Linked DNA regions of Callithrix jacchus. The protein of the gene in region 1 interacts with the protein of each later gene in a pairwise test. Links are inferred from orthologs where the notes say so. Each region holds a gene or a part of one and is shown in the gene's direction. Other genes may lie near its edges.

Evidence for each region.
Region 2: the proteins of SDCBP (region 1) and PYCR3 interact in binary tests that used the Homo sapiens proteins (3 or more experiments, as listed by UniProt). The two-hybrid records come from large-scale screens. The link is inferred for Callithrix jacchus from reciprocal best matches to the Homo sapiens genes SDCBP and PYCR3.
Region 3: the proteins of SDCBP (region 1) and RIC8A interact in binary tests that used the Homo sapiens proteins (3 or more experiments, as listed by UniProt). The link is inferred for Callithrix jacchus from reciprocal best matches to the Homo sapiens genes SDCBP and RIC8A.
Region 4: the proteins of SDCBP (region 1) and FTL interact in binary tests that used the Homo sapiens proteins (3 or more experiments, as listed by UniProt). The two-hybrid records come from large-scale screens. The link is inferred for Callithrix jacchus from reciprocal best matches to the Homo sapiens genes SDCBP and FTL.
Region 5: the proteins of SDCBP (region 1) and ANP32B interact in binary tests that used the Homo sapiens proteins (3 or more experiments, as listed by UniProt). The two-hybrid records come from large-scale screens. The link is inferred for Callithrix jacchus from reciprocal best matches to the Homo sapiens genes SDCBP and ANP32B.
Region 6: the proteins of SDCBP (region 1) and EIF5A2 interact in binary tests that used the Homo sapiens proteins (3 or more experiments, as listed by UniProt). The two-hybrid records come from large-scale screens. The link is inferred for Callithrix jacchus from reciprocal best matches to the Homo sapiens genes SDCBP and EIF5A2.
Region 7: the proteins of SDCBP (region 1) and CLK3 interact in binary tests that used the Homo sapiens proteins (3 or more experiments, as listed by UniProt). The two-hybrid records come from large-scale screens. The link is inferred for Callithrix jacchus from reciprocal best matches to the Homo sapiens genes SDCBP and CLK3.

Annotation. Positions count from the first base shown.
Region 1 is NC_133517.1:14,818,546-14,822,045, forward strand, and holds part of SDCBP (syntenin-1), read left to right. Parts: intron 1-1,326; coding exon 1,327-1,488; intron 1,489-3,270; coding exon 3,271-3,446; intron 3,447-3,500. UniProt on the Homo sapiens protein: Multifunctional adapter protein involved in diverse array of functions including trafficking of transmembrane proteins, neuro and immunomodulation, exosome biogenesis, and tumorigenesis.
Region 2 is NC_133517.1:53,988,005-53,992,181, forward strand, and holds the start of PYCR3 (pyrroline-5-carboxylate reductase 3), read left to right. Parts: upstream 1-1,377; 5' UTR 1,378-1,388; coding exon 1,389-1,479; intron 1,480-2,772; coding exon 2,773-2,837; intron 2,838-3,431; coding exon 3,432-3,611; intron 3,612-3,883; coding exon 3,884-4,096; intron 4,097-4,177.
Region 3 is NC_133511.1:131,723,590-131,727,694, reverse strand, and holds the start of RIC8A (chaperone Ric-8A), read left to right. Parts: upstream 1-1,305; 5' UTR 1,306-1,366; coding exon 1,367-1,450; intron 1,451-2,308; coding exon 2,309-2,356; coding exon of another isoform or gene 2,357-2,444; coding exon 2,445-3,035; intron 3,036-4,089; coding exon 4,090-4,105. Other genes in the region: BET1L (BET1-like protein), read right to left, coding at 291-309.
Region 4 is NC_133523.1:42,797,869-42,801,416, forward strand, and holds FTL (ferritin light chain), read left to right. Parts: upstream 1-1,425; 5' UTR 1,426-1,629; coding exon 1,630-1,731; intron 1,732-1,892; coding exon 1,893-2,039; intron 2,040-2,455; coding exon 2,456-2,581; intron 2,582-2,753; coding exon 2,754-2,906; 3' UTR 2,907-3,048; downstream 3,049-3,548.
Region 5 is NC_133502.1:146,138,947-146,142,446, forward strand, and holds part of ANP32B (acidic leucine-rich nuclear phosphoprotein 32 family member B), read left to right. Parts: intron 1-243; coding exon 244-362; intron 363-1,391; coding exon 1,392-1,443; intron 1,444-3,500. UniProt on the Homo sapiens protein: Multifunctional protein that is involved in the regulation of many processes including cell proliferation, apoptosis, cell cycle progression or transcription.
Region 6 is NC_133518.1:16,140,956-16,144,975, forward strand, and holds the start of EIF5A2 (eukaryotic translation initiation factor 5A-2), read left to right. Parts: upstream 1-1,220; 5' UTR 1,221-1,318; intron 1,319-2,020; 5' UTR 2,021-2,055; coding exon 2,056-2,220; intron 2,221-2,769; coding exon 2,770-2,874; intron 2,875-4,020. UniProt on the Homo sapiens protein: Translation factor that promotes translation elongation and termination, particularly upon ribosome stalling at specific amino acid sequence contexts.
Region 7 is NC_133509.1:21,643,564-21,647,777, reverse strand, and holds the start of CLK3 (dual specificity protein kinase CLK3), read left to right. Parts: upstream 1-1,414; 5' UTR 1,415-2,045; coding exon 2,046-2,489; exon of another isoform or gene 2,490-3,077; coding exon of another isoform or gene 3,078-3,098; exon of another isoform or gene 3,099-4,214. UniProt on the Homo sapiens protein: Dual specificity kinase acting on both serine/threonine and tyrosine-containing substrates. Phosphorylates serine- and arginine-rich (SR) proteins of the spliceosomal complex.

The DNA of each region.
Region 1 (3,500 bases):
TTCTTTTTAATTTTAAATTACTTTAAGTTGTTGCTGGAGATTTCTGTTAACTCTCCACATCTAGTGAATTTTTCATTTCACATACTTTTTTTCTCTTGATGTTTCATCTGGATCTCCACCCCACCCCCAGCTTTATTGAGGTATAATTAACAAATAAAAATTGTTTATATTCAACTGTGTATTTCGGTACAACTTGATGTATCGATACACACACACACCGTGAAATCATTACCAGAGTCAAGGTTATTAATATATCTGTCACTTCACGTAGTTACCATTTCTTTTGGTGTGTGGTGAGAACACTTGGTACTCTCAGCAAATTTCAAGTATACAGTACAGTGTTATTAACTATAGTTACCATGCTGTACATTAGATCTCTAGAATGTACTGATAACTGAAAGTTTGTACACTTTGACCAACATTTCCCTTATTCTTTCCCCTGCCCACCCCAGCCCCTGACGTGGACAGGGGAAAGAATGAAGGTAACTCTACTTGTGTGAGTTTGACTCTTTTCAGATTCCATATATAAGTGAGATCTAGACAATACTTGTCTTTCTGTGTCTGGTTTATTTCACTTGACATAATATTCTCTAGGTTTATTCATGTGCCCAAATGTCAAGATTTCCTTTTTTTGATAGCCTGATATTATTCCATTTTCTTTTTGATTGGGGAAAGGTTCCACTTAAAATAAGAAACCAATTTTGGTCAGGAAAACTTGAAAAAAATTAGAAACTTGAAGCATGGTACCTGACACAGGTCCCTAATATAGGTATTCTGGGGCATTCTGGTTTATGCCTGTGATTTGTTAATCCATAGATGGTCATTAGAGGGGAGAAGACATAATGGTTGACTGTCTTACTTGTGCCAGGTCCATACACATACGCACTTTTCATTTAGCCTTCTCAGTAACACTGAGTAGGAAGGTTGTCCCTTTTTGGAAATTCTGAAAGGATAAGTAGATTGTCAGAGATCATGACATATAAAAGAATCCTCTGGAAAATGTGTTTCAAGCATGTGGCCTTTAAGTTCAAAGGTAATGCATTTGAGATGAAGACAAGCCAATGTACCAGTGAAACAAATGTCAGTGAATTCAAAAGGTAACAGAGAATCATTGAATCTATTAGAGATGATATATGTGGGAATAAGTTAATGAAGAATTAATAATGGAGCCAGTGCCATTTTCATAGACATAAAACTTTATCTGAAGGAAATTATTTGTGGATTGCTTTTTGGAAAGCCATAATTGAGTATGTTCCAGTTAATTATCATTGTTTTTTTCGAGGAGAGTGATTCTAAATATTTACACATCGTATATGGTTTTGTCAGCAGTTGGTAGCAAGACCTTCCAGTATGAACTATATGGTGGCTCCTGTAACTGGTAACGATGTTGGAATTCGTAGAGCAGAAATTAAGCAAGGGATTCGTGAAGTCATTTTGTGTAAGGATCAAGATGGAAAAATTGGTCTCAGGCTTAAATCAATAGATAATGTAAGTATTTTTAATACCTGTATAAGTGACTAATGTTAAAATAATTTGAAATGGAAATGCTTTAACTATGATGGTGTATCTATAGTTGAGAATATTTTAAATATACAAATTTTGTTCAATTGGGGATGTTCTCTTTTGCAGAGGCAGAGTTGGGACTTCTGACCACATTACTTTAAAAGACATTTTTCTTTTCTGAGTACTCTAACTGGAATACAGTTCACTGGCCTACATATATTATAATGTAGTTTGTATAGAATTGTGGCAATTAAATAGAGCAGATGTGAAGGTTAAGAAAAAACTGACCAATGAGAGTTGATGTCAACATGTGTGCATTTTTAAACCAATCAGTATTTGTGAGATGGTTTTTACTGTTATTTGAATTTAATATGTCATTTTCTGAGTAAAAGTTTTTTTCTAATTAGGGCAGCTATTACTTGACTTTATGATTACTTTACCTCTCACTTTACCATACTGAAGATATGAAACTCTCAGGAACCATTTAGAATTGTTAAGGACATGCTGAGTCTTTACCCCGATTTATAGTTTTAGCCATTACCTCACTGGATTCAGTTTCAGTCATACATCTCTAGCGTAGTGCACTGCTGTAAATGGAGAAGCCTGATCTTGGCAGGAAGCCCCAACCCCACCTGCCCACCCAGGGGGCTGAGGCCATTGATGGCCTTGTTCACTTATATCTTATTCAGAATACATCTGCGTGCTTGGTTGGGATGCTCTGACTTTGGTGCCCTTTCTGCTTTTCTCTTCAGGGAATACAGTATATTGCTGCCCCTTATGCCAGGATTGCTCTTGTGTTCTTTCCTCTGTCCTAAAGAGAAAAGATACTTTTCACAGACCCCTTGGCCCCACTGTAGGTAACACTTGGAGTGGATTTGTTCACTTGGCCAAGCGCGTTGGTTCATTTATGGGGCGCTGCCTAATTCTTGCTTATCCCTCTACAGTGTAACAGACGTGTGATAGAAATGTCTTACCTCGTTTGGGATTGTAGGAAGGGTCTAGCCTTGTAGATGCTCTTATATTCTACCTGTCTTATTCTTCTTTTATACTTATCTATTTATATTTTGTTCAATTTCTGATAGAGATTTTACATAAGTAACTTTATCCATATAAGTGTAGTTACTGGTTAACAGTACTAGAGTTTTCTATATTTATTTCATAGTGTGTTCTTTACAAGCCTGTGCATGTAGATTTAATATGCCCATCTTTTTAGGCTATCAAATAAACTTTAATCTTACCTGATTTTATACAATGTAACAAATGGGTAAAGGAACACTTCAGCTCAAAAGGTACAATTATGACCTTAAACTGTCATTTATTAAGCTGTAAAAGAACTCACCAAACTTTCTAACATGTGACTTGCTTGTCCCCTAAATATGACTGATGATGTAGTGATAATTTGGTATTCTATGAGACTCATAGATGCTTGCATTTATTAAAGTTGTCCTTTATTTTCCTTATGTATTCCAAGTTGAAAGTGGTGGGGGTTGTGGTTGGTCAGGTGGGTTATGATTTGGTATAGAAATTGCCATTGAAATCTCACTTTTCTGCTTTCTTCTTTGGAGTTACTGCCTTGATAAATGTTTCGGTTTCTTTTGAGGTGATAACTTGATATATTACACTCATATAGTTTTTTCTGTTTTTTCTTTCTTTTGTCACAGGGTAGATTTTTTTTTTTAACATAAACAGTTGTTTCCTAATTTTCCAGCATTTTAGAACCATACCATAATAGAGGTTAATGACAAAACTTATTTTCTTATTATCTAGGGTATATTTGTTCAGCTAGTCCAGGCTAATTCTCCAGCCTCATTGGTTGGTCTGAGATTTGGGGACCAAGTACTCCAGATCAATGGTGAAAACTGTGCAGGGTGGAGCTCTGATAAAGCGCACAAGGTGCTCAAACAGGCCTTTGGCGAGAAGATTACCATGACCATTCGTGACAGGTAAGCTGTTACTAAACAGTTCAAATTCAACTTCAAGACTAGTTTTCCATTTTG
Region 2 (4,177 bases), about 39 Mb from region 1:
GGCCCCTCTCACCTCCACAGACTTGGTCCCAAGCCATCACTGGCCTGGGAGAAAATCCAGGGGGTCTGTTTTGGAAGGGGCTGGCAGGATCCTGGGTGGCAGGAGAGACAGCTGCTGGCACTGAGAGCTAGTGCAAAGCGGATGCTTTGCACCACCAGATTTCCTGGCTGTGGTGGCCGAAGCAGCCTCCTGGTGGCTTTCTGTCCCGCTCCACGTCATTTGTTTCAGAGCCTTGACACCCTGGCCATCCCCTGCATGTGCCGACTGCTCTGTCTCCATTGCCAACAAACAGGGCGGTAGGCTGTGATCTGGCTTGTCCCATCTGCTGCTGTGTGGTGGTCTTGCCCAGGCCTAGGGCAGGGCCCAGAGGCTGCAACTGCACAGTAAATGTTGAATCAGTGAGAGGATTTAACTACTGAAGAGTTCAGGAAATGCCAAAGTCTTCAGACTAAAACAACAAAACGTCTGTAACATGAAGCCTTAGATTGGACGACGAAAACAAAACCAGACTCAGATCTTCAAACCTAATTTTTCTTGTATCATTAAAATGACGGCCGGGAGCGGTGGCTCACGCCTGTAATCCCAGCACTTTGGAAGGCTGAGGCGGGCGGATCACAAGGTCAGGAGTTCAAGACCGGCCTGCCCAACAAGGTGAAAGCCCATCTCTACTAAAATACAAAAAATAGCCGGGCGTGGTGGCCCGCGCCTGTAATCCCAAGTTACTCCAGAGGCTGAGGCAGGGAAATCGCTTGAATCTGGGAGATAAGTGCAGTGAGCTGAGATCGCACCACTGCACTCCAGCCTGGGGATAGAGCGAGACTCCGTCTCAAAAAACAAAAACAATGACGAGCATCTCCGCTCCCCCACTGTCCCCCTCCCCTCCCCGTCGGCCCCTCCCCTGGCCCCGGCCAGCATTCTGTGACCTGGGCCTCCGCCCCTAGTGCCGCCTCGCGGCCCCCCGTCTGTGGTCGGTGGAGCCTCAGGGACCGCAGGCTCCCGACCAGCCCCGTAATCCGCTTCGCAACCCCTCCCCTCCGAAAAACGAAGATCTGTTCGTCGCACGTGCGCCTGGGACCGGTCCAGGCAACCCCGGCAGCTCGAGCGCTACTGCCCCGCCCGCCCCGCCAACCCTCGGTTCCTCTCAGCCAATGGGCAGTGAGGGGAGGGGGGATAGCCTTTTCGGGCCAATAAGCAGCGAGAGGCAGAGCCTCCGCGCCTTGCGGACCAGTAGAGAGCGGACAAAAAGCCGGGCGGGCCCGGAGCGTGAGGTCCCGGCAGCCAATCGGCGGGGGGGGCGGGGAGGCGTGTCCCATTGGTAGGGCCGAGGTCTGTGGGTGGGGCGCGGCCTGTGGATGGGCGGCCAGCGCGGCGGCGGCCAGTGCGACAAGATGGCGGCTACAGGGCAGGCTCCGCGGCGCGTGGGCTTCGTGGGCGCCGGTCGCATGGCGGGGGCCATCGCGCAGGGCCTCATTAGAGCAGGTGGGGCGGCGCGGAGCTCGGCTCGCGGCCTGGCGTGGGACAGCCCCGTGGGAGGCTTCCTTCCGAGAGATTGGGGCGGAGGGCGCGCGCCCAGGCACCCGGGCCTCCGCTGCGCTGGGCTCAGCCGGGGACACGCCTGTTTGCTCGTAATTTTTTCACGTGGCTGTGGGAAGATTTGAGTTACACGTGGCTTGGTGCCACTTCCGTGGCCGGCTTCCTGGCCGCGTGGCCTTAGCCAGGTTCATGTCTCCCAGCCTTTGGTTTTCTCTGTGCACCAGCCCCTCTCTGGGGAACAGCAGGGCTTCTCCGCAGACACCTTGGCTCTAGTGACACCATTCGTCCTTTGCCAGTAGCACCCGTACGTTGTGACAGCCAAAAGTGCCTCCAGACACGGCCGAATGCACCCTGGGTGGGAGGAGGAGACAGACAAAATCATCTCTGGCGGAACCACGGCTCTATAGCCGGGATGTTTGCGCTGATCATATACTTCTCCAGGCATTTAGAAGCCCTTCTGCAGACTGGGGGAGAGCTGGGTGACTCTTGGCTCTCTGCCTTCAGCCATATTTCAGGGTTCAGAGGAGTCATGATGAATCGGAAAATAGCTTCCTATGAGGTCTTAGTTTTACCTGTGAAACCCGGCAGTATTACATGCCTCCCAGAGCTGTACAGGGTAATTAGATGTATATGTGTAGTGTTGAGCCTAATACTGCTGTGTATGGCTGCCACTGTCATGGTTAGTAGCTGCGTTCAGGTTGTGGTATACACTTCTGTCTTCCTGTTCGACTTTACCAAAATCTAACCCTATCTCCCCACCCCTGTACTCCACAAAAGCATGTTTCTACCAAGTAGGCATTTAGCCTCTTCGTGGACATCCCAACAGACTCTCCCTCCCGAGGAACCTGGGCCCCCATTGGGCCTTCTGTGGCCATAAATCAGCTGCTTTTGTACCCTCCACACTCCTCCAAAGCCTGGTGTTAGAAGTACTGCCTCTTCTCCTCAGGCAGCCTTCCCTTCCCTGGAGGCAGAGGCCCCAGGGATCTGTGTCCTCACCAACGAGGCAAGCTCCTGGCCTCCATACCCAGCAGCAGTCAGGGACGTTGACTGCCAAGTAGAGTCAGTGGATCTGAGTGCCTGGGCCCAGTGAATGGCGCATCCCTGGTTTGGGTTCCTGAGGCCAGAAGGGGGCCCATGATGGGCCAGGTGTGGCTGAGCCTGAGAGGCCAGGCGAGTTCCTCCCTCTCCTCACTGCCATCCTACCCTACCCCTTCAACCCCTCTTCCTTTTCCTTTCCAGGAAAAGTGGAAGCTCAGCACATACTGGCCAGTGCACCGACAGACAGGAACCTATGTCACTTCCAAGTGAGCACAGAGCGCAGGATAACTCTTAGCTCCCGTCCAACTAAGACACTTACCAGAGCCAGGGATGGGTGGCTTATTTAGCTGAAGTTTGGAGACTGGCTGGTCTGGACTGGGGAAAGGGAGGTTGTGGAGAGCCATAGCAAAGTGTGTGTGTGCGTGTACCACGTGTGTGCACATGTGAGTACGTGTGTGCACATGAGTGCATTGTGAGTGCTCGTGAATGCATGTATGTGTGTACGTGTGAGTTCGTATGTGCATGTGAGTGTGATTGTGTGTGCATGTGTGTATGTGAGTGCGTGCTCATGAGTGCGTGCGTGTGCACGTGTGTGTGTGCATGCTGGGATGGTGGCCACGGATATTCATGGGATGGAGGGCTCAGGGCTTGGGGAGGTGCTGACATCAGAACTGCCTGTGAGGAGGAGGTCTAGTCTGGGTGAATCTCGGGCACTGGTGACATGGGGGTGGTCTAGACACTTGCAATGGGAGAGGCCCTGGGACCCTGGGAATGTGTGGCCACCAGCAGGAAGGGCTGTGGTGAGGAGGGTGTGCTGCTCACACAGCCCCTGAGGCCTGGTCCTGGTGTCCCTGGCTCAGGCTCTGGGCTGCCGGACTACCCACTCCAACCAGGAAGTGCTGCAGAGCTGCCTGCTCGTCATCTTTGCAACCAAGCCCCACATCCTGCCAGCTGTTCTGGCAGAGGTGGCTCCTGTGGTCACCGCTGAACACATCTTAGTGTCCGTGGCTGCTGGGGTCTCTCTGAGCACCCTGGAGGAGGTGAGTATCCCTTGGGCTAAGGCCTTGGTCCCAGCTTAGGCTCTGCTGGCCAGCTTGGGTGGCAGGCAGCCTTCCAGAGAGCCTGAGAGGTGGCCAGGTGGCCTAGCTGGGTGCGATGGCTGAGGTTAAGCTTCCCTCCTGGTGCTGTACCTGGGAGGCAGCCGCGGGAGCCTGCAGCTAGCTGATGGGGACCTTTCCTGATGCCCCTGCTGATGCCTGCCCAGCAGGGCCCAGTCCCACAGGCTCCCTGATTCTAACCTCTTTCTGGCCAGCTGCTGCCCCCACACACACGGGTGCTGCGGGTCTTGCCCAACCTGCCCTGCATGGTCCAGGAAGGGGCCATCGTGATGACACGGGGCCGCCACGTAGGCAGCAGCGAGACCGAGCTCCTGCAGCATCTGCTGGAGGCCTGTGGGCGGTGTGAGGAGGTACCCGAAGCCTACATCGACATCCACACTGGCCTCAGTGGCAGTGGCGTGGCCTTTGTGAGTATTGCCTTGTCCGTCCCCTGCCCTACCCTTAGTAAAGAGAGGCCTGCCCAAGTCCCTCTAATGGCCTCTGCCCTC
Region 3 (4,105 bases), on another chromosome or scaffold:
TAGGGCCTGGCCCCGGGACCTGCCGAATGCGGAGGCTCCCGCACCCCGAACCCACGCAGAACGATCTCACAGGGAATGGCGGAGAGTTGGGGGACCCCGCAGCTGCGCGACCCCTCGCTGGAGCGGCTAGGCCGCCCCCTCGGACCCGGAAGGATCCGAATCTGCCCCCGTGACAGGGTCCTCTCCGCCGAGGACAGTTTAGAGGCAGGCGTACGCGGCTCTGCAGGTAACAGCGTCGGCTCCGGCCGGGCCCGGCCCCGCCCCCAACGACTCCGCTCTCTGGCGCTCACCCCTAGCCCAGTCCGCCATGGTGCCTTCCCCGGCTCTTCAACGCCGACACCGACGCGGCAACCGCCGCCTCGGACGTGGCGCAGTCAAGGGGCAGGACTTCCGGCCCCGCCTCCGCAGCGACCACGCCCCTATATGCCCCTGCCCCTTCCGCCTTGAACTCGCTGACTTCCGGCTGAGGGCTACGAGTTGGGAACCGCCGGTCGCAGGAGCGCGGCACGGATGTGCCTTTCATTTTCCGCACCGTCCCAGGCTGGCGTGCAGTGACGCGATCTCGGCTCACTGCACCCTCCGCCTGCCGGGCCAAGCAGCCCTCCCGCCTCGGCCTCCCAAGGTGCTGGGATTACTGGTGTGCGCCACCGCGGATGTGACGTTTGTTGTTCCTGTGAGCGTAGGGCGGGGCGGGGCTGTTGGCTCGGTGCCAGGACTACGGTGTGGGATAGACGCTTCCGTGGGTTAGGTCCTAACGGCGGGGAAGGATTCACAGGCGCGTCATGAGGAGGGAGCAGGCCCCCCCGAGCAGGAGCCCTGTTCCCGGCCACTTCCTGTCGTCCGGTGTCAGCAAAAGCAGCGTTTCCTCGCTGCCCGTTTTGAAGCACAGCCTCGTGTCCTTTGGTGTTTGCTTGTGTGCCTTCCCCTCGGGAACAAAAGCTCCGCGAAAGCATGGACCTAGGAGTCCCGTTCGCCTGCGTTCCCCAGCAAACGCCTAACGAACCCGATGGCCCAGGACTGAAAAGTCCCCCACTTCGGCTCCCCCTCCACACCCCATCCGTTCTGTGGAGATCCAGGGGCGGCGCTGTGTGTGTGGCAGGGCGAGGTGGGGGCTGAGATCCTTTCCCGTTGGAAATTCCTGCCCAAGAAGCGCGGGTCACAAGGAGAGGGGTCAGTTCGGTCGAGGGCGACTCGGGTCTGGAAACCTTCGAACCGCCGCTTCGGCTCCAGGCCGCGCCCCCTGAAGGCGCCGCCCGACGCCGCACCCCGTCCCGGCCTCCCATGCGCGCTGGCGCGGAGCTCTCTGGGCCAGGGCGGGGCCGGCGAATTGCGGCCCGGAACGGCTGGGGCGGGTCCCGGGGGCGCCATGGAGCCCCGGGCGGTTGCAGCAGCCGTGGAGACGGGGAAGGAGGATGTGATTATGGAAGCTCTGCGGTCGTACAACCAGGAGGTGAGCCGCCGCCGGAGGCCGGAGTCGGGCACGCGTGGCAGGGACGGGTAGGAGAGCGAGGCAGGGGCTGTATCCGGAGGCCGGGGTCGGGCACGCGTGGCAGGGACGGGTGGGAGAGCGAGGCAGGGGCTGTATCCGGAGGCCGGGGGGGGGGGCACGCGTGGCAGGGACGGGTAGGAGAGCGAGGCAGGGGCTGTATCCGGAGGCCGGGGGGGGGGGGCACGCGTGGCAGGGACGGGTAGGAGAGCGAGGCAGGGGCTGTATCCGGAGGCCGGGGTCGGGCACGCGTGGCAGGGACGGGTGGGAGAGCGAGGCAGGGGCTGTATCCGGAGGCCGGGGGGGGGGGCACGCGTGGCAGGGACGGGTAGGAGAGCGAGGCAGGGGCTGTATCCGGAGGCCGGGGGGGGGGGGCACGCGTGGCAGGGACGGGTAGGAGAGCGAGGCAGGGGCTGTATCCGGAGGCCGGGGGGGGGGGGCACGCGTGGCAGGGACGGGTAGGAGAGCGAGGCAGGGGCTGTATCCGGAGGCCGAGGGGCGGGCACGCGTGGCAGGGACGGGTGGGAGAGCGAGGCAGGGGCTGTATCCGGAGGCCGGGGGGGACGGGCACGCGTGGCAGGGACGGGTGGGAGAGCGAGGCAGGGGCTGTATCCGCGAGCACAGGGGACACGGCGGCGTCGGGGGGGCCAGGTCCGGGATGCGATGTTGAGGGGAGAGTGTGGGGTGCACCGCTGGGTGGCAGGTGCGTAGGGATGGGGGCGCGTGTAGACCCTGCCATCCGTTCTGAGCGGTGGCCGCCGCCCATCAGCGGACGCGGAGCCTGCCCCTCTCTGGACTTGAATTCACTGTTTCTCTCTGCAGCACTCCCAGAGCTTCACGTTTGATGACACCCAGCAGGCGGACCGGAAGGTGGGTGCTGGCCCGAGGGGTAAAGGGGCAGGGACGGGTGGCCCCAGGAAGAGGGACCTGGTGGAGCCGCTCTTCTCCTTGCCCACAGAGACTGGCGGAGCTGCTGGTCTCCGTCCTGGAACAGGGCTTGCCACCCTCCCACCGTGTCACCTGGCTGCAGAGTGTCCGAATCCTGTCCCGGGACCGCAACTGCTGGGACCCGTTCACCAGCCGCCAGAGCATGCAGGCACTGGCCACCCATGCTGGCATCTCTGTCTCCGAGGGCTCCGTCCCTGAGTCCGCAGACATGGATGTTGTTCTGGAGTCCCTCAAGTGCCTGTGCAACCTCGTGCTCAGCAGCCCTGTGGCACAGACGCTGGCAGCGGAGGCCCGCCTAGTGGTGAAGCTCACAGAGCGCGTGGGGCTGTACCGAGTGAGGACCTTCCCGCACGACGTCCAGTTCTTTGACTTGCGGCTCCTCTTCCTGCTGACTGCACTCCGCACCGATGTGCGCCAGCAGCTGTTTCAGGAACTGAAAGGAGTGAGTCTGCTGACGGACACGCTGGAACTGACGCTGGGGGTGACTCCCGAAGGGAACCCACCCAAGCTCCTTCCTTCCCAAGAGACTGAGCGGGCCATGGAGATCCTCAAAGTGCTCTTCAACATCACCCTCGACTCCATCAAGGGGGAGGTGGACGAGGTGAGCACTGATGGCAACCCGTGGCTGGGTCTCAGCTCAGCTCCAGCATTTTCTGGACCTGCTTGCTTCCCACTGGGTACCTTCGGGTTTCTGAGTGTCAGACATGGAGAGGATAGGATCTCTCAGCCTATTGGGACAAGGCCAAGGAGATGCCAGTTTCGGGCTGGAACCTCAGGGATCCCCTTCTGGCTCTTGCTGCCTGGCAGGAGGGCTGTGTGGTGTCAGGGGAGACTGTAAGAGATCCTTCACCATGAGGCCATGAGTGGGGCTGACACACTGTGTGACCTCCCCAGGGAATGTGTTTCTACTCAGGGAGGTGATTTTTTTTTTTTTTTTCTGAGACGGAGTTTCGCTCTTATTACCCAGGCTGGAGTGCAATGGTGCGATCTCAACTCACCACAACCTCCACCTCCTGGGTTCAGGCAATTCTCCTGCCTCAGCCTCCCGAGTAGCTGGGATTACAGGCACGCACCACCATGCCCAGCTAATTTTTTTTGTGTGTTTAGTAGAGACGGGGTTTCACCATGTTGACCAGGATGGTCTCGATCTCTTGACCTCGTGATCCACCCGTCTCGGCCTCCCAAAGTGCTGGGATTACAGGCACGCGCCACCATGCCCAGCTAATGTTTTTTGTGTGTTTAGTAGAGACGGGGTTTCACCATGTTGACCAGAATGGTCTCGATCTCTTGACCTCGTGATCCACCCGTCTCGGCCTCCCAAAGTGCTGGGATTACAGGCACGCACCACCATGCCCAGCTAATGTTTTTTGTGTTTTTAGTAGAGACAGGGTTTCACCATGTTGACCGGGATGGTCTCGATCTCTTGACCCCGTGATCCACCCGCCTCGGCGGAGGTGCTTTTAAGAAGACAGAGGTGGTCATCTTTTGCCCCCAGCACTACCAAAGTCACTTAGGAGACCCCAGGGGGTCAGGCATGGAGTATGGGAGCTGCACAGTCAGTGCCACATATTCTTGGAGTGCAAGACAGTAGAGCCTCAGCAGGCAGCAGTGGGATGAGTGGGGCTCCTCACAGGAACCCTTCTTTCTTTGGTCAGGAAGATGCTGCCCTTT
Region 4 (3,548 bases), on another chromosome or scaffold:
AAGGGGATGAGGTCAGCCAGTGGCCCCACCCCCATCCGTCCCCCTTGGAGCCCCTTCCTGCGCTGAGCTCACCATGACTCAGCAGCCCAGCAGCCGCTGCCTGCAACAAGGACCCCAGATAGCGGCCCGGCCGGGCATCTGCAGATCCCCTTGGTCAGGGGCTGCCCCGCCGGGGCTGCTCGGAGCGGCTCTCGGTAGGGCAGGACCTGATCTCACACCCCACACCCCAGTGGCTTCAGCTCCCTGCCCAGCGCACCGGCTGCCTCGATCAGGGCGCTTAAGTAGGGTCAATGTTTGTGCCAACTGTCTCCCAGAAATCAGCATGGACCAGGCCCACGTAAAAAATCCGCATCAGCCGACGACAGATGTCTCGTCCATCGGTCCACAACGCAGAGCTTCTCTTGGTGGGCCTGAAGGAGCACATGTCAGCCAAGACACTGGGGCAACTTTAGAGATTGTTTCAGGGCCAAGGAGAATTCTCAAAGTTCTCGAGGCCAGGGGGTTGGCTTCAAAACAGCCCCCAGGAAATGCAGCCCCAGAGACACTGCAAAGCTCGAAAGAGACATTGCATTCCTCCCTGTGTCCACTCCCAGGAAAGCACTGGGCCCCTGAAAGAGCTCCAAGGTATCCCCAAAGGCCCAGCCAATCTTGGGAGGGTCCAGAAGGCTGTCCACCGTTCCAGAAGTCACCCCACCTGGTACAATGCTCCTCCCGGGCTTCCAGCACTGGGTGAACCCCACGGCTCCAGAACAACTGCCCTTTCCAAGCTGCAGAGAATCTCAAAGACGTAAAGATCTCTTCTGGGAGGGCTCCAAAAAAATACAGACTTTGCATCGTAAACCCTCGCCTCTGTAAACCCCAGGGCTCCAGTCCCCCCAACCCTCCGTCTCCCAGAGATCCCCAGGGGTTCACCTACAGCCTTTCAAACTTCCCAAGGATCCCGAGACCCCCTTATCTCGCAGCGCAAACCTAGGACAACTAGAGATCCTCTCTGCGCCTCTGAGGTGCCCCTCTCCAGACTCAAGGTTCCAGAAAAAATCCATGCCCTCGGAAACCCCAGAATCTGACTTACTTTCCCGAGACACCCCAGGACCCCAGGCTCATCAGTTCACAGGGCTCTTAATGCTCCTATACAACTCTCGCTCCCAGAGGGACCCTCACCCCGCTCATGAAACCCTTCACTTCCCTGAAGCAGGCCCAGGGCCCCCAACCCCCATCCCCCATTTCACAACAGCCTCGGGTTACAGGCGCGTGACTTCGCCCTGCTTCGGGTCGGGGGGCTGAGACTCCTTTCTGCTCCGGATTGGTCAGGCACGGCCTTCGGTCCCGCCTCCTGCCACCGCAGATTGGCCGATCGCCCGCCCCGAACGCCCCGCCCCCGAGGGCCCGCGCACTATAAAGGGAGCCGCCCTCGCCACGTCCCATAGCAGTTCGGCGGTCCCGCGGATCTGTCTCTTGCTTCAACAGTGTTTGGACGGAACAGATCCCGGGGACTCTTTCTTCCAGCCTCCGACCGCCCTCCAGTTTCCTCTCCAGTTGCAACCTCCGGGACCATCTTCTCGGTCATCTCCTGCTTCTGGGAACCTGCTAACACCGTTTTTGTGGTTAGCTCCTTTTTGCCAACCAACCATGAGCTCCCAGATTCGTCAGAATTATTCCACCGACGTGGAGGCAGCCGTCAACCACCTGGTCAATGTGTACCTGCAGGCCTCCTACACCTACCTCTCTCTGGTGAGTCCCCGGGACGCCCCTGGCCCTAATTTCCTCCAACTGCGCACCTCCGGCCCTCGGCGCAGGCGCCGGCTTTCTTTGTCCGGTCGGGTAAACAGAGGGCGGAGTTCCCCCTGGCCTCGCCTCTCGCTAACCACTGTTCCCTCCATCTCTTCCCGCAGGGCTACTATTTCGACCGCGATGATGTAGCTCTGGAAGGCGTGAGCCACTTCTTCCGCGAATTGGCCGAGGAGAAACGCGAGGGCTATGAGCGTCTCCTGAAGATGCAAAACCAGCGTGGCGGCCGCGCTCTCTTTCAGGACATCAAGGTAACTGGCTTGAGGGTAATGGACTACATCTCCCAGCAGTCCGTGCGCGCGAGGCGCCTTGGCTTGTGGGCTTAGATGTCGCGTGGGCTTCTGGGAGATTGAGTTCGGTTTTGTAAGCGTTCTTAACAGCTGGAAATGGTGTCTCACGTCGTGCAGTGCCCCCATGATGCGGCAGTCCACACCGCTGCGTGGTCTTCTATAGATGTCGTTGTAAAAGATAGGACGGAGTAGCCGGGCGCGGTGGCACCAGCCTGGCCATCATGGTGAAACCCCATTTAAAAAAAAAAAAAAGGACGGAGTTCGGAGTGATAAATACAAGGGTCACATGTCCTTTTGATCCCCAACGACTCTTGGGAAATGTCACTTTGGTTCTTTGTGCCGGTGTGTGTATTCTGAGCACTTTCCCTCCTGTATAGAAGCCGGCTCAAGATGAGTGGGGTAAAACCCTGGACGCCATGGAAGCCGCCATGGCCCTGGAGAAAAATCTGAACCAGGCTCTTTTGGATCTTCATGCCCTGGGTTCTGCCCGCACGGACCCCCATGTAAGAACCCACTGCATCCATCGCTACCCAACCATACCCCTCAAGCCTTGCCTCCCTTTGGGCAGATTTCCTTCAGAGCCACATTTCACACCTGTCACATTTCAATCTGCAGTTGGGAGCTCTCCCTCTTTTCCAGGGACTGGGTTTCTAATTTCTTCCTCTTTTCTCTCAGCTCTGTGACTTCCTGGAGAGTCACTTCCTAGATGAGGAAGTGAAAATCATCAAGAAGATGGGTGACCACCTGACCAACCTCCGCAGGCTGGCCAGCCCACAGGCTGGGCTGGGCGAGTATCTCTTTGAAAGGCTCACTCTCAAGCACGACTAAGAGCCTGCTGAGCCCGGCCACTTAGGAAGGGCCTTTGCAAAGTAACAGCGCTTCTGCCTAAGCCTCTCCCTCCAGCCACTAGGCAGCTTTCTAACTACCCTTACAAGCCTTGGACCAAATGGAAATAAAGCTATTTGAAGCAGCTGGTGGTTTTGTGTGTGGTGTGGTTGGTGCAGAAGATGAGGTGGGATCTGTTCTCATAAAGCTTCTGGCTGGATTGGGATGGCAGCGAAAAAGGCGTTGGCTGCATCTCCGGTTTTCTTATCTGTTCTAAGACAAGAGCTGTCTGTGGGTTATGTTGAGCCTGAGGGTTCTCTGCTTGCCTGGCTGTTAACTGTCCCTACCAGATGGTAGAGATAGAATTCAGGGAGTTGAATTAAGACTCAGGTTGGTCCCTGGAAACAGATCTGTTAGGTCTCAGTAGCCAGAAACAGCCCTATTTAATGGGTGATGGTGAGGCCAGGCATCATGCCAATCTCTTAAATATTGTGTGCCATGGCCGGGTGTGGTGGCTCACACCTGTGATCCCAACACTTTGGGAGGCTAAGGTGGTCGGTCATCTGAAGTCAGGAGTTGAAGACCAGCCTGGCCAACATGGTGAAACCCTGTCTCTGCTAAAAATACCAAAAAGAATAAAAAAAG
Region 5 (3,500 bases), on another chromosome or scaffold:
CCAGTCCTTATAATTTTGAAGCAAATCTTAGCCATTGTATCATGTCACCAGTGAGAATTAGAGTGTTTGTCTTGTCTACCAGGACTTCTAGCTTTCTGATTTTATGGGACTCTGTTGGACAAAGTGACTGCAGTTTGTGGCCTTACCAGCATTTGTTCTGTGAGCCAGCCCATAGATCCCCAACACCTTGTGCCCTGTGGAGCATTGGGGATATTTAATGAATCCCATTTGGACTGTTTTTAGAAGGAGAAGATGAGGAGGATGAGGAGGATGAGGATGGTGAAGAAGAGGAGTTTGATGAAGATGATGATGAAGACGAAGATGTAGAAGGGGATGATGACGACGATGAAGTCAGTGAGGAGGTCAGTGCAGCTGTTTTCTACCCTCCTTCCTATTTGTAATTAAAACAAGTGGGAGTTTAAAAAAGATGACAAAGAAAAGAAAAACACCTTTTGAAGAAATTAGTATACCTGTAAATAGATTTACAATATGAATCTGGTTTAGTTTTTGTCTGCCTTTAAATAACTATTAAATGGAATGCCTTCTGAACTCAAATTAGTATGGTTCCTGGCTGTGCAAGGTGAGTTTTGGTCCTCTCCGGGGAAGGAATGAGTTGAGTATTCAGGGTGGTGAGAAAACTGGAAATGTTCAAAATTGATGGTATGTCTGTTCTTTCATTGAATTGTAGGGAAGTATATGTTTACAAAGTCTAAACTATTTCTTATATATTCAGTAAATATATTCCCACTATATTAAAGAATTAGGGGTATAAAATTAAATGAGATTGTGGTCCTGCCCTGAAAAAGCACATAGTCTAGTTTATGGGATACCCAGTAATAGAGTATCCCTGAGGAAATGAATGCTGTACGAGGGCAGGAAAAAGCAGTGTCTTGACTTTGACCCTCAAAGAGGTTTTTGGGAAACATGCAGACAACAGTAGTTGTTAGCAAAAAGCATGCTCTTTTGTAGTATAAAAATAAGTCTTGGGGTTCATGTGCTCTCATTAGGTGTATGATTGACATTAAGGTCATGAAAAAAGCTTTGTATATGAATGGGATATAGAAAGAAATTTTTGTCTAAACTTGTTTTGAAATTTCAGATTTTAAGATCATTTCTTGAATTATCCAAAGTTATATACTAATTAAACATCTAGCGAATGAACTGCTTCTAAAAAAAAAATTTTTTTTTTTTTTTTTTTTAGAAAAATTGTAAAATAAAGCTCATTGAGGAAAATCAGTGGGTCTTGGTACATCCAAGTAGATAGAAATAAAATTACAGTTTCCTGCTTGATACTGTTGCATTTATTTGTACTTCTCGGTTTGGCAGAATTTGTACTATTTGCACTTCTTGATTTGGCAGAGTTAATCTGATATTATACTGTTATTCTCTAGGAAGAAGAATTTGGACTTGATGAAGAAGATGAAGATGAGGATGAGGATGAAGGTGGGCCTAATGCATGCATTTTGATCATTCTCGTTAAAAATTAGATGAAAATATCTATTATTTAGAATTTGATACCACCAAGAAGAAAATAAAATATCCTTGGCTCTGGCAGTCTACACACACATTCACATTCTTGTTTGTATCATCCCATTATTGTGTCTGTGCTAGTGCAGGCTTCCTGCTGCTACAGCAGTTATTCTTGTCTGATTGCAAGGGTCCTGTTGGTCTTCAGTCCCCATGGGGTTTTTTGTTATTATTTTTTTGAAATGGAGTCTAGCTCTGTCACCCAGGCTGGAGTGCACTGGTATGATCTCTGCTCACTGTAGCCTCCACCTCCCAGGTTCAAGGGATTCTCTGCCTCAGCCTTCTGAGTAGCTGGGATTACGGGCATGTACCACCATACTCAGTGAAGTTTTATATTTTTAGTTGAGACAGGGTTTCGCCATGTTGGCTAGGCTGGTCTTGAATTCCTGGCTTGAAGTGATCCATCCACCTCAGCCTCCCAAAGTATTGGGACTACAGGTATGAGCCTCCGCACCCAGCCTGGTCCCCATGTTTTAAATGGAGGGACGATGTAAAGCCATTTGATTTATTGCCAAGTGTGAGGTTTCTGTGTTTGGAGTTATTTCATTTTTTTAAAAATAGATTTAATAATTGAACCATAATTTTCAGGATATATAAATAGATACATCACTTTCCCAGTTTGATCAGTGTTAGTCCTTTCCCCACCACAACCAAGACTAGTGAAATAGCCATTACTTATTTAATAGTATTAAAAGTTTGCCAGCCTGGACATCATAGACCCTGTCTCTACAGAAAATTTAAAAAGCTGGTACTGGGTGTGATGGCTCATGCCTATAATTCCAGCACTTTCGGAGGCCTAGGTAGGTGGATCACCTAAGGTCAGGAGTTCAAGACTAGCCTGGCCAACATGGTGAAACCCTGTCTCTACTAACAACACAAAAATTAGCCAGGCATGGTGGCATGTGCCTGTAAATCTCAGCTACTCAGGAGGCGGAGGCAGGAGAATCATTCGAACCCAGGAGGTGCAGGTTGCAGTGAGCCAAGATCACACCACTGTACTCCAGCCTGGATGACAGAGCAAGACTCTGAAAAAAAAAAAGCTGGGCATTGTGGTGCACGCCTGTAGTCCCAGCTACTCAGGAAGTAGTAGCTGGGACTATAGGCATGAGCCCATATATTGTTTGCGCCTAAGAGGTTGAAGTTGCAGTGAGGCTATAATGGCGCTGCTGCACTCCAGTCTGAGTGACAGAGCGAGACAATGTCCCAAAAAATAAAAGTCTCATGGTTGAGTATCAGAGAATCAGGTGTTCACTGTGCCACTGGCTCATGGTTTCTCAGCATCCACTTTGTCAAGCTCTCGATTACATTTATACTAGATATACCCTGGTTAGGACCTTGTCACTGCCTTAAAGAACCTGTATGAAACATGATTCAACATACAGTTAATTTCATTAAAATAACCATGGATTTTATTAGGTGAAAAGATTTGTCTATGTGTAAGTCCCTGTGTCTTGACTACATAAATACTTTTAAAAAGTCCTTTTTTAGTTAATATTAGAAGTGTTTTGTGTGTTACTTAATTAACAGAATAACCTTTTAAAGTCAGTACCATTGTCCCCATTTTACAGTTGAAAAAGGCTTAAGGAGGTTAAGCTTGTCCAAAATCACTTGAAAATGAGTATGGCTTGAAGACATGCTAGATAGCTGGAGGGGGTTTGTTTGTTTGTTTTGCTGGAGACAGTTTCACTCTTGTTACTCAGGCTGGTGTGCAGTGGCGGGATCTCGGCAACCTCTGCCTCCTGGGTTCAAGCACTTCTGCCTCAGCCTTCCGAGTAGCTGGGATTACAGGTCTGTGCGAGCATGCCCAGCTAATTTTTGTGTTTTTGGTAGAGATGGGGTTTCACCGTGTTGACCAGGATACTCTGGAACTCCTGACCTCAGGTAATCCACCCATCTCATCCTCCCAAAGTGCTGGGATTATAGGCATGAGCCACTGTGCCCAACTAGCTCAAGTTATTAGTATGCATTTTAAT
Region 6 (4,020 bases), on another chromosome or scaffold:
CTAGGATCGCAGGCATGAGCCACTGCTGTAATGGCTGTTTCATATATTAGCTAGAGGCTGAGTTCAGTATATGAGAGGGCAGTAACTTACTGTAAAAGTTAAACTGTACATGTTTGAAAGATATGTGTAAACTGTAGTCATATATGAATGTGAGATATGAGATTATTCATAAGACAGTAACAGGAAATCAAAGTACCACATAAATGCGGGTGTGGAATGAGAAGTAATTTCCTAGGTCACCTCCCCAAGAAAGGACACAGTGGGTTGTGAAATAAAAATGTGAAGGGGGAGCACATCTCTTTTAAGAACCTTTCTATTGCAGTCTACAAGCTCTAGGTCAGTTGTGAAGACCATCCAAGCGTTCTAATACGGCAGAGTTAAAACCCAAACTCTAAGGAATGCCAATACCAGGAGGAAAGAAGGGATGAGTTGGCAGGACACCTGTCTGGACCAACAATGTGATACGGGTCAGACAAGCTCCGCCTCCACAACTTCACAACAGCTTTTGGTGTGAGAAGTGGATTAAGTCATTTCACTGCTGCTTGTAAGCTGGCGGATGCTTCAGGAGTGTCCACCCCAGGGAGCAGTGCTGACTCTACAGGGGCACCCTGCGGCAGTCAATGCCAAAATCTCACCAAGGGGTGAGTGAGGTTCTCAGAACCCATGGTGCCGAGCCGGGTAATAAAATACTGCACGTGAGTTCTTCTGCGAAGACCAGGAGGGGGCTTCGAACCCCAAGAAAGGCTGCAAGCTGAACCAGAAGCTCTAACCCAAAGTTCCCTTCACAGCCAGCCACATTGGCACTCACTGAATCTGCGCACCTCACGAGTGCCGACGATCGTCCCGTGATAACTGCCATGTACCTGACGGCACGGGCCACCGGGTGCCTCACTTGGTTCCCATTAAAGTAGACTGCGACCCAAACGCAACAAACCTAAGAGTTGGAAGGCGCAAGTTCCTCTGCCAGCGAGCTCACTCAAGCAACCAGAATGCTGAAAGTGCTCTCCACGCCGGAAGTGCACTAATCCGCAGCACGTGGGGTTGCCAGGGCGCGCTTCACGTGACTGGGCGGGGCCTCGGGAACCTGGTAGCCAATGGTAGCCCGAGGGGGCGGTGCCTGTGACGCTCCAGGGCCTATCCCGGAAGTAAGGCTGGGGTGGGGGCGGGTAAGGGCGGGGAGGCTGGGGTGTGGAAAGTGTGGCGGCCCCGCCCCGGCTCTTGGAACTGCCGCGGCCGCCAGCGCCGCCGCCGCCGGCGCCGCAGCTGTGGGGGACCTGCGCGGGTGCGCAGGCGAAAGGCGCTCGTAGCCAGCTGAAAGGTGAGGATCTGGGGAAAAGCTGATGGGGATGGGGCCAGAGCGAGGCAGGGCCGGGGAAGGCGCCCAGAGCCGAGCGCTGACCGAGGGAAGGAAGAAGAATGGATAGGGGAACGGAGGCAAGCGCGGGACCCGCCGGGGCTCAGGCCCTGGTGGGGCCGAGCCGGGCCGGGCCGGGCCGAGCCGAGCAGAGCCGGGGATGCCGGCAGAACAGGAGGCGCTTGTGCGGCCGCAGCGGCGGCGCTGAAGGGTGGAGGGCGCGGTGCGCGCCCGTTAGCAGAGGGCCGGGTGCTGCCGGCCAGGTCCTGTTACTCCGCATCCTTCGCGGGGACGTGCGGCCTGGGCTGGGTCCCCCGCAGTAGGGTTCGGGGCGGCGGCGGAGAGCTGGGTGGCGCGGGAAGGTCGCCGGCTTCTGCGTTGGGGCGATGGGCGCCAGAACCTGCTGTTTCCAGCGTGGAGGAGCGCCCAGGGCGGATGTCCCCACCCTCTGCGGGCTCCTCTGCGACTTCTCATCCCACCTCCCCAAACAATAGCTGGAAAAGTTTCTAGAGGCCAGAGTTAGAGAGTGCCCGCTAGTCTAGGGTGGGTGTTCTATACATGCAGAAATAACAGGCCCATGATGCTTGGCACATAACTTGTCCGAAATGAGACGTTTCCCTGCCTACACACCCATTGTTAAAAAGCAACCACAAACTTTTTGTGTAGTTCACACAGAAAAACTACCACCTCCCCAACCCACCATGGCGGACGAAATTGATTTCACTACTGGAGATGCTGGGGCTTCCAGCACTTACCCTATGCAGTGCTCGGCCTTGCGCAAAAACGGCTTTGTGGTGCTCAAAGGACGACCATGCAAAATAGTGGAGATGTCAACTTCCAAAACTGGAAAGCATGGTCATGCCAAGGTAAGTGCCCTTGCTGTTCAGGCTTTGGCTTCGGCCTTGGGATTTTGCTCATTTGTATTCTGTTGCAGATCATGAGATTACTATACTTAAAATTTTGTAATAAGCACTATTTTTTTCTGTCCCACAATTGCTGAGTGATCAGTTATTACTTTGAAAACTTAAAGGTAGCATTCCTTTCTTGGACCCTTACAATGTTTCATTAACGGGGAACTGAAACTTTCTTGAATGGTAGTGACCTAGGTCTATTCAGTTTACAGATGAGAAAACCTGTTCTACTAATTCTAAGAAACCTACACTTTATTTTTCTTGTCTACTCATAATTGAATCACTGGACTATATTGGGTCTTGGCAGGTCATGATACTCTTTAGTTGTTACTGCATCTTAATTGTATGACCATTACTTTTTTTTTTTAAGAAAGTAAAATTAGATGACCTTGGAAGGAGGAGAAAAAGAACCTGTCGTAATCAGCGTTGGTATTGTACTCTTGTGTGTGTAATGAGTGATATACTTGGCAGAGATTAAACAGGTTTCCTGTTCCCCTCTGTTAGGTTCACCTTGTTGGAATTGATATTTTCACGGGCAAAAAATATGAAGATATTTGTCCTTCTACTCACAACATGGATGTTCCAAATATTAAGAGAAATGATTACCAAGTAAGCACTGATTTTTCTTTAGAATGTTGCTTGTTTCTTCAAGGTACAAATACTTCATACTATCAACAGCAATTTGACAAAACCCAAGAGTGGTTTTGTAGGTTTTTCTAACCAAGTATTAGGCACCACCTATCTTAGAAATTGGAGAAATTATGATGTTTAACATGTGTTCCTTTTATAGGATTATTGCCAGCTTGCTATTTTTTCATATTCTTGCATTTTTTAAAAAGTCAAATACTTATTGTGTTCCTCAGGCCAAGTGACTGCATATTCCAGCTAAGTCCTATGCTTTGTAAAAGTACCATCCTCTCTGTTGTAAAATATTTCTAATTTAGATAGCTCCCTCCTGGATGTTTTGTTTCTTTTCACTGATCAGACTTAAGACATTCAAGAAACTACTGAAATTCATGTTCCTACCAAGTTTTTCATGTTAATGAACATGAGTCAGAACTTGACATTCTTAAGTAGGGAAATAAGCTGAAACCCATAAATATAAAGGATAAAATACACGGTCACCGAGTATGATAAAGAAAACACAAAAACTATATAAATGGTTTAATTATATTTAGTGACCATGCTGTGACCTTTTGCTAACTTATATATGTAAACCTCAAGTTTCAGTTATACATTGGGGAGGTCATATTTAATGATAGCATCTTAGTGTTTGGAATATCGATGGTAACCAAATAATTGACCTCATAGGATATGGAAGCTCAGATTACTCAAAGCTAAAGCTTTTCTTGAAAGTCTTCACTTTTTGTATCAAGCATACCATATATCAAACTCATTTTTGCTCATCTTACATAGTAAAAAATGCAGAGTTGACACTGAGATTTGTTTTATCCAAATTAAACTGACTTTTTTCTGTACCTTTTATTGTATTATATAGATTTTTTTAATGTTGCTATCAGCTGCACCCAATGATTTTCTTTTGCTGTTTGTCCACCTGCAAACATAATTTTTGGAGTTTCAATCTAGTAACACTTATATTTTCACTTTCCTACCTGTCCTAAATGTTTTCTAGATTGCTTTGAAGTCTTTGTAGAAATTTGAATTGTCTTCATATAACAGCAAGTGTTTTTTTTGTTTTTTTGTTTGTTTTTTAATGAGGTAGATCTGGGTTTGGATCTAGTTCTGCCACTTTCT
Region 7 (4,214 bases), on another chromosome or scaffold:
TCCGTCTTATACTGCTTTCGTTGTACCCTACAGGCTTTGGTGTGTTGTTTCCATTAAAGTAGTGGCTTTAAAGTAACTATATACACACATGAAAGCATTGAAATATCAACACCTGCGATGAAGAAAGAATTGAGAAATAATGTTTAGCGTAAGTATGTCCTAAACACGCATGGTACATACTTACTAAAAAATTATCCATTTGTTATCGGAATCTAAATTTCACTGGGCGGCCTATATTGTATCTGGCATCTCTACTGTAAGGTTTGAATGAGGCAACTGAGGCCAGTTATTGAAATAAAGAAATTTAATTGGCTCCTGGGCGAGGTTCTAGGGTCCGGGGAAAGGGGGCCAGAGAAGTCACGCTGACTTCCTGGGGCAGGGTGGGGTTTTTATGGCTGTGAGCAACTAGAAATAGCTGCGTGCTCCGATTGGCTCCAGGGAAGCGGGATTGGGACGGAACGGGCCGCCATTAGTTGGTGGGTTGCTGGTCGGGTTTTCCCGTGCGAGAGCCGGCCAGGGTTGCATCAGCCAGAGCCTTCCAGGGGAGCCGTGCCACAGAGTCGGGTGCGAGTCAGGTGCTGAGTACAGAGGTGGGTGTGTCCGGCCTCCCAGCGAGGAGGCCTCCCATCTACCTCAAAGCCAAGCAGGAGAGAGTCTGCAGTCCTATCTTCCAGCGGACGCCCTAGCCCAGGACAGGGCCTGGCCAGGGGCAATCGTGCAAGGCACGGATTAGAGATGCCATTCAGTGTGCCAAAGGTGTCGCCAGACCTGCGTGCAATCAATATTATTCATGTTTTTCTCTAAGGCACCTTTAAAAATATTAACCTTTTATTTGGAAATCCAGATTCAGAGGAAATTTCAAAGACGGTACATAGAGGGTTCAAGTACTCGTCACTCAGTTTCCTCCAAAGGTTCTATTTTGTGTAAGTGTAGAACACGATCCAACAATATCACGTGCCTAGGTCTGTGCCATTTTATCACATATGTAGACTCCTTTAACCACCGCTACAATCAAGATACAGAACTGCTTCGCCACCACGGAAAAATCCCCCTCCTGCTATTCCTCTGCACGCGCCGCCACCTCCGGCTAATTTTTGTAATTTTGGGGAAGGGACCCAGTTTTGAATTAGCTCCTGCTGTTTACTTCGGTTAGCGTGGTGGAGCTGGCAGAGATGTGAGGGATACTAAACACCCCCAGAAGTCACGCCGTGGGACCCCGTTTCAGGGCGAGCAGCTGGCGTAGGACTCGAGGGGCAGCCGCGGCTCGGGCGGAGGGCTCCCCAGCGACAGCTCTCCGCGTCCGTGGAGGGCCCAGCCCCGCGAGGAGGAGTGTATGGTCTGGGCCGCGGCTCTCGCGCGCGCGCTGGGGCGGTGCTAGGGAAACCCTTGGAGCCCCGCCCAGCGGTCCTGAGGAGGGGGCGGTGCCTGGAGGGTTGGTCCGTCCCGGCTGCGGGTTTCTAGTCCTGGCGTGGCGTGGGGACAATTAGGCGCCACGCCCTGTCACTTTGCTGCGCGACGGTCGGGAGGCCGGGGACGGAAGCGTCACCCCTAGACTGGGCAGGGCGCGCAAGCTCACAGTGAGGTCTCTCAAAAGATCCACCTCGGTTTTCTCATCTGGAAAGTGGGGCCTCCTAATCCTCCCCATCCCCGTGCGGGCCAATAGGTGTCCGGGGTTTGGTGACCCCACGCTGGAGGCCTCTGCAAAAGGGGACTGTCCAGTGACCCGGAGACGGGGCCCGCGGGGGAAGTCTTCAACTGAGAGGCCACGCAGGCTGGCAGGAAGCCGCTCCACTCCAGGGGGCTCCAGGAGAGGGGACCTCCTTCCCCGAGACCCCGGCCCCTCAGGCAGGCTCCGCCAGAGTGGCTCTCGGGTGCTTTCCCAGAAAGTGCGGGGCGGGCCGCCACGGCTTTCAAAAAACCGGCACACAGCGAGAGACAATAATGAGTCGTTCTCTTGTTTCGCGCAAGCAGAGTCGCGTCCGCTTTGCCGAGGCCCCGCTCACAGACCTCAGAGGGCTCTCAGGCTCTCCCGGGCTCCGAGAACAATGCCTGTCCTCTCCGCGCGCAGGAGGGAGTTAGCTGACCACGCGGGGTCGGGGCAGCAGAGCCGGCCGAGTCCCGCGGCCGGGTCGGGGCCGTACTTTTCAGCTTCGAGCGCCTCTCTGACCCGGGCCGCACACCTGTTAGGTCCGGGGACCTACGTGCGCCGCGACACGGCGGGAGGCGAGCCTCACCGCGCCGGCCCCCTCGGCCCTCCCGGAACTAGTCTCCGAGGCCGCGGCGTCCACCGGAGCGGAGAGCGCTGGTGCCCCGGAGCCTTCGAGTCGGGGGCTAGAGCGGCCAGGCCTCCGAGCCGGGTTGGGCCCGGGAAGGCGACGGCTGCGTCACGCGAGGGGGCGGGGCCGCCACGGGCGGAGGTCGGAGCCGGAAGCGGAAGAGGCGCTCGGAGCGGGGAGTGGGGCCTAGCAGCAGCTGGAGCCTGGAAGACGGTAAGTGTGGGCTGGGGCCCGGGGCGGCAACAGCGGCGGCGGCGGCTGGGGGTGAGTCGGCGGGGCGGGCGCGCTGGTGCTATTCGTCTCGGCCTACACCCTTTCTTTCTCCTCTTCGGCCCACTTTGGGCCGCGGCCCCGACCTCTCACCCCTGACCCGCCGCTTCTCCACCGGAGGGCGGTCACTGCAGACCCTGACCTGGATCCCGCGGTTTTGAAGGCGGGGCCTAAGCGGCCTCTGAGGCTCCTTAAGGGTTCAGTTTGGGCCCTGCGCCTGCCCGCGGAATGGGGTCGGGGTCCGAGGTGGAATAGCCAGAGAGGCCCTTCAGACCCCTCCCCTCCCCTGGCTTCGCGCTTGGTCCTCAGACGACTCCTCTCTTGGCGGCCTGGAGTTTGATTCTGGCCCAGTCTGGCCCTCCCTCTGCCTCCGGGTCTGTACCCGGCTCTCCCCTCGGCGCCACTGGTGGCCGTTACAGAGGGTGGGACTCTGAGACCCCTGGGACCTGGGGCGGCAGGAAGGGAAGCGAACGAGGGCGCAGGCCCCCCTGCGTATTTTGTTGTGGTGATGGAGCCGTTCCAGTCCGGGGGATGGGCAAGGCCAAGCTGACGGTACAAATCCCTTGGCTGCACCTCCGTCCCGCCCGGGAGTCTCTGGCTTTAGTTCCGGGTATGAGTGCCCTGATGTGGAGCTGAGGTGGAAATTGCCTGAACCAGGTCCCCATCGAGGCGGAGTTGGCGGCCTTCCAGCTTCCCTCCTTGATGCCCTTGAAAAGGAGGAGCGTTTCACCCGTTGGTGGTGGAGGCTTGCGAAGTGGCAGGTTTGAGGTTGCAGGGGTAGGACAGTGCCAGCCAAAAATAACCACGGGTGCTGGGGTGGCTGGAATCCGGGAGGGCAGCCGCTGACCTGGCTGGCTGCTCTTCTCGTCAGCCCAGTTCTCTGGCCAGGAACAGCAAATGAGAAGCTGACAAGGCCTGTGCTCAAAGAAAAGTTGACATCCTTGGCTTGGTTTCCTTTGCATCACTTTTTTCTTCATTGTGCAGAGCAGAGCTTCCCAAAGCATAATTGTGGCCTTTAGCTACTTTTTTAACAAGCTTTTTGCTGAGATTTTAGAGAATCGGAGATAATTGAGAAATGGGCCATAGAGCCCTGGCTGGGAGGATGACATCTACTATTTCCAATATTTTACTTGCCTAGAATGTGTTAAAGGAAGGATAATCTTCTCTATTATTGCTTTGTGTGTGGTCTTTTATAATTCTCATACTTGTCATCTTTGCCAGGCTGGGAGATGTTACCTCCATTTTCCAGGCATTCTAATCGAGGCCTAGAGTGACTTGTCTAAAGTCATGAGGCTGGTATGTGGCAGCCCTCGATTTTAGTTGAGAGTTTATTGGCAGAGCTCTCTCCTCCCGGCTTCCTTGGAAGGGACTTACAAAATGTCTGTAAGGCATTTAACACAGTCCCGAAGTGTTACCCGGAACCTTTTAAGTGTTCATGAAAAGCTGCCACTAGTACCTCTGTGGGCATAAAGCTGTACTAGGCATTTCACTTATGGGACAGACATAATTAATCCTCACAGAACCTCGTAAGAGGTTACTTTTCCCTGTTGCCAGAGGAAGTTGATGGTCAGAGTAGTGTAATAATTTGCTGAAAGGCACACAGCTAGAAGTGGCATGCCATGATTCAGGGGGACATCTATATGACTCTGAAATTGTGCTCTCCATTGA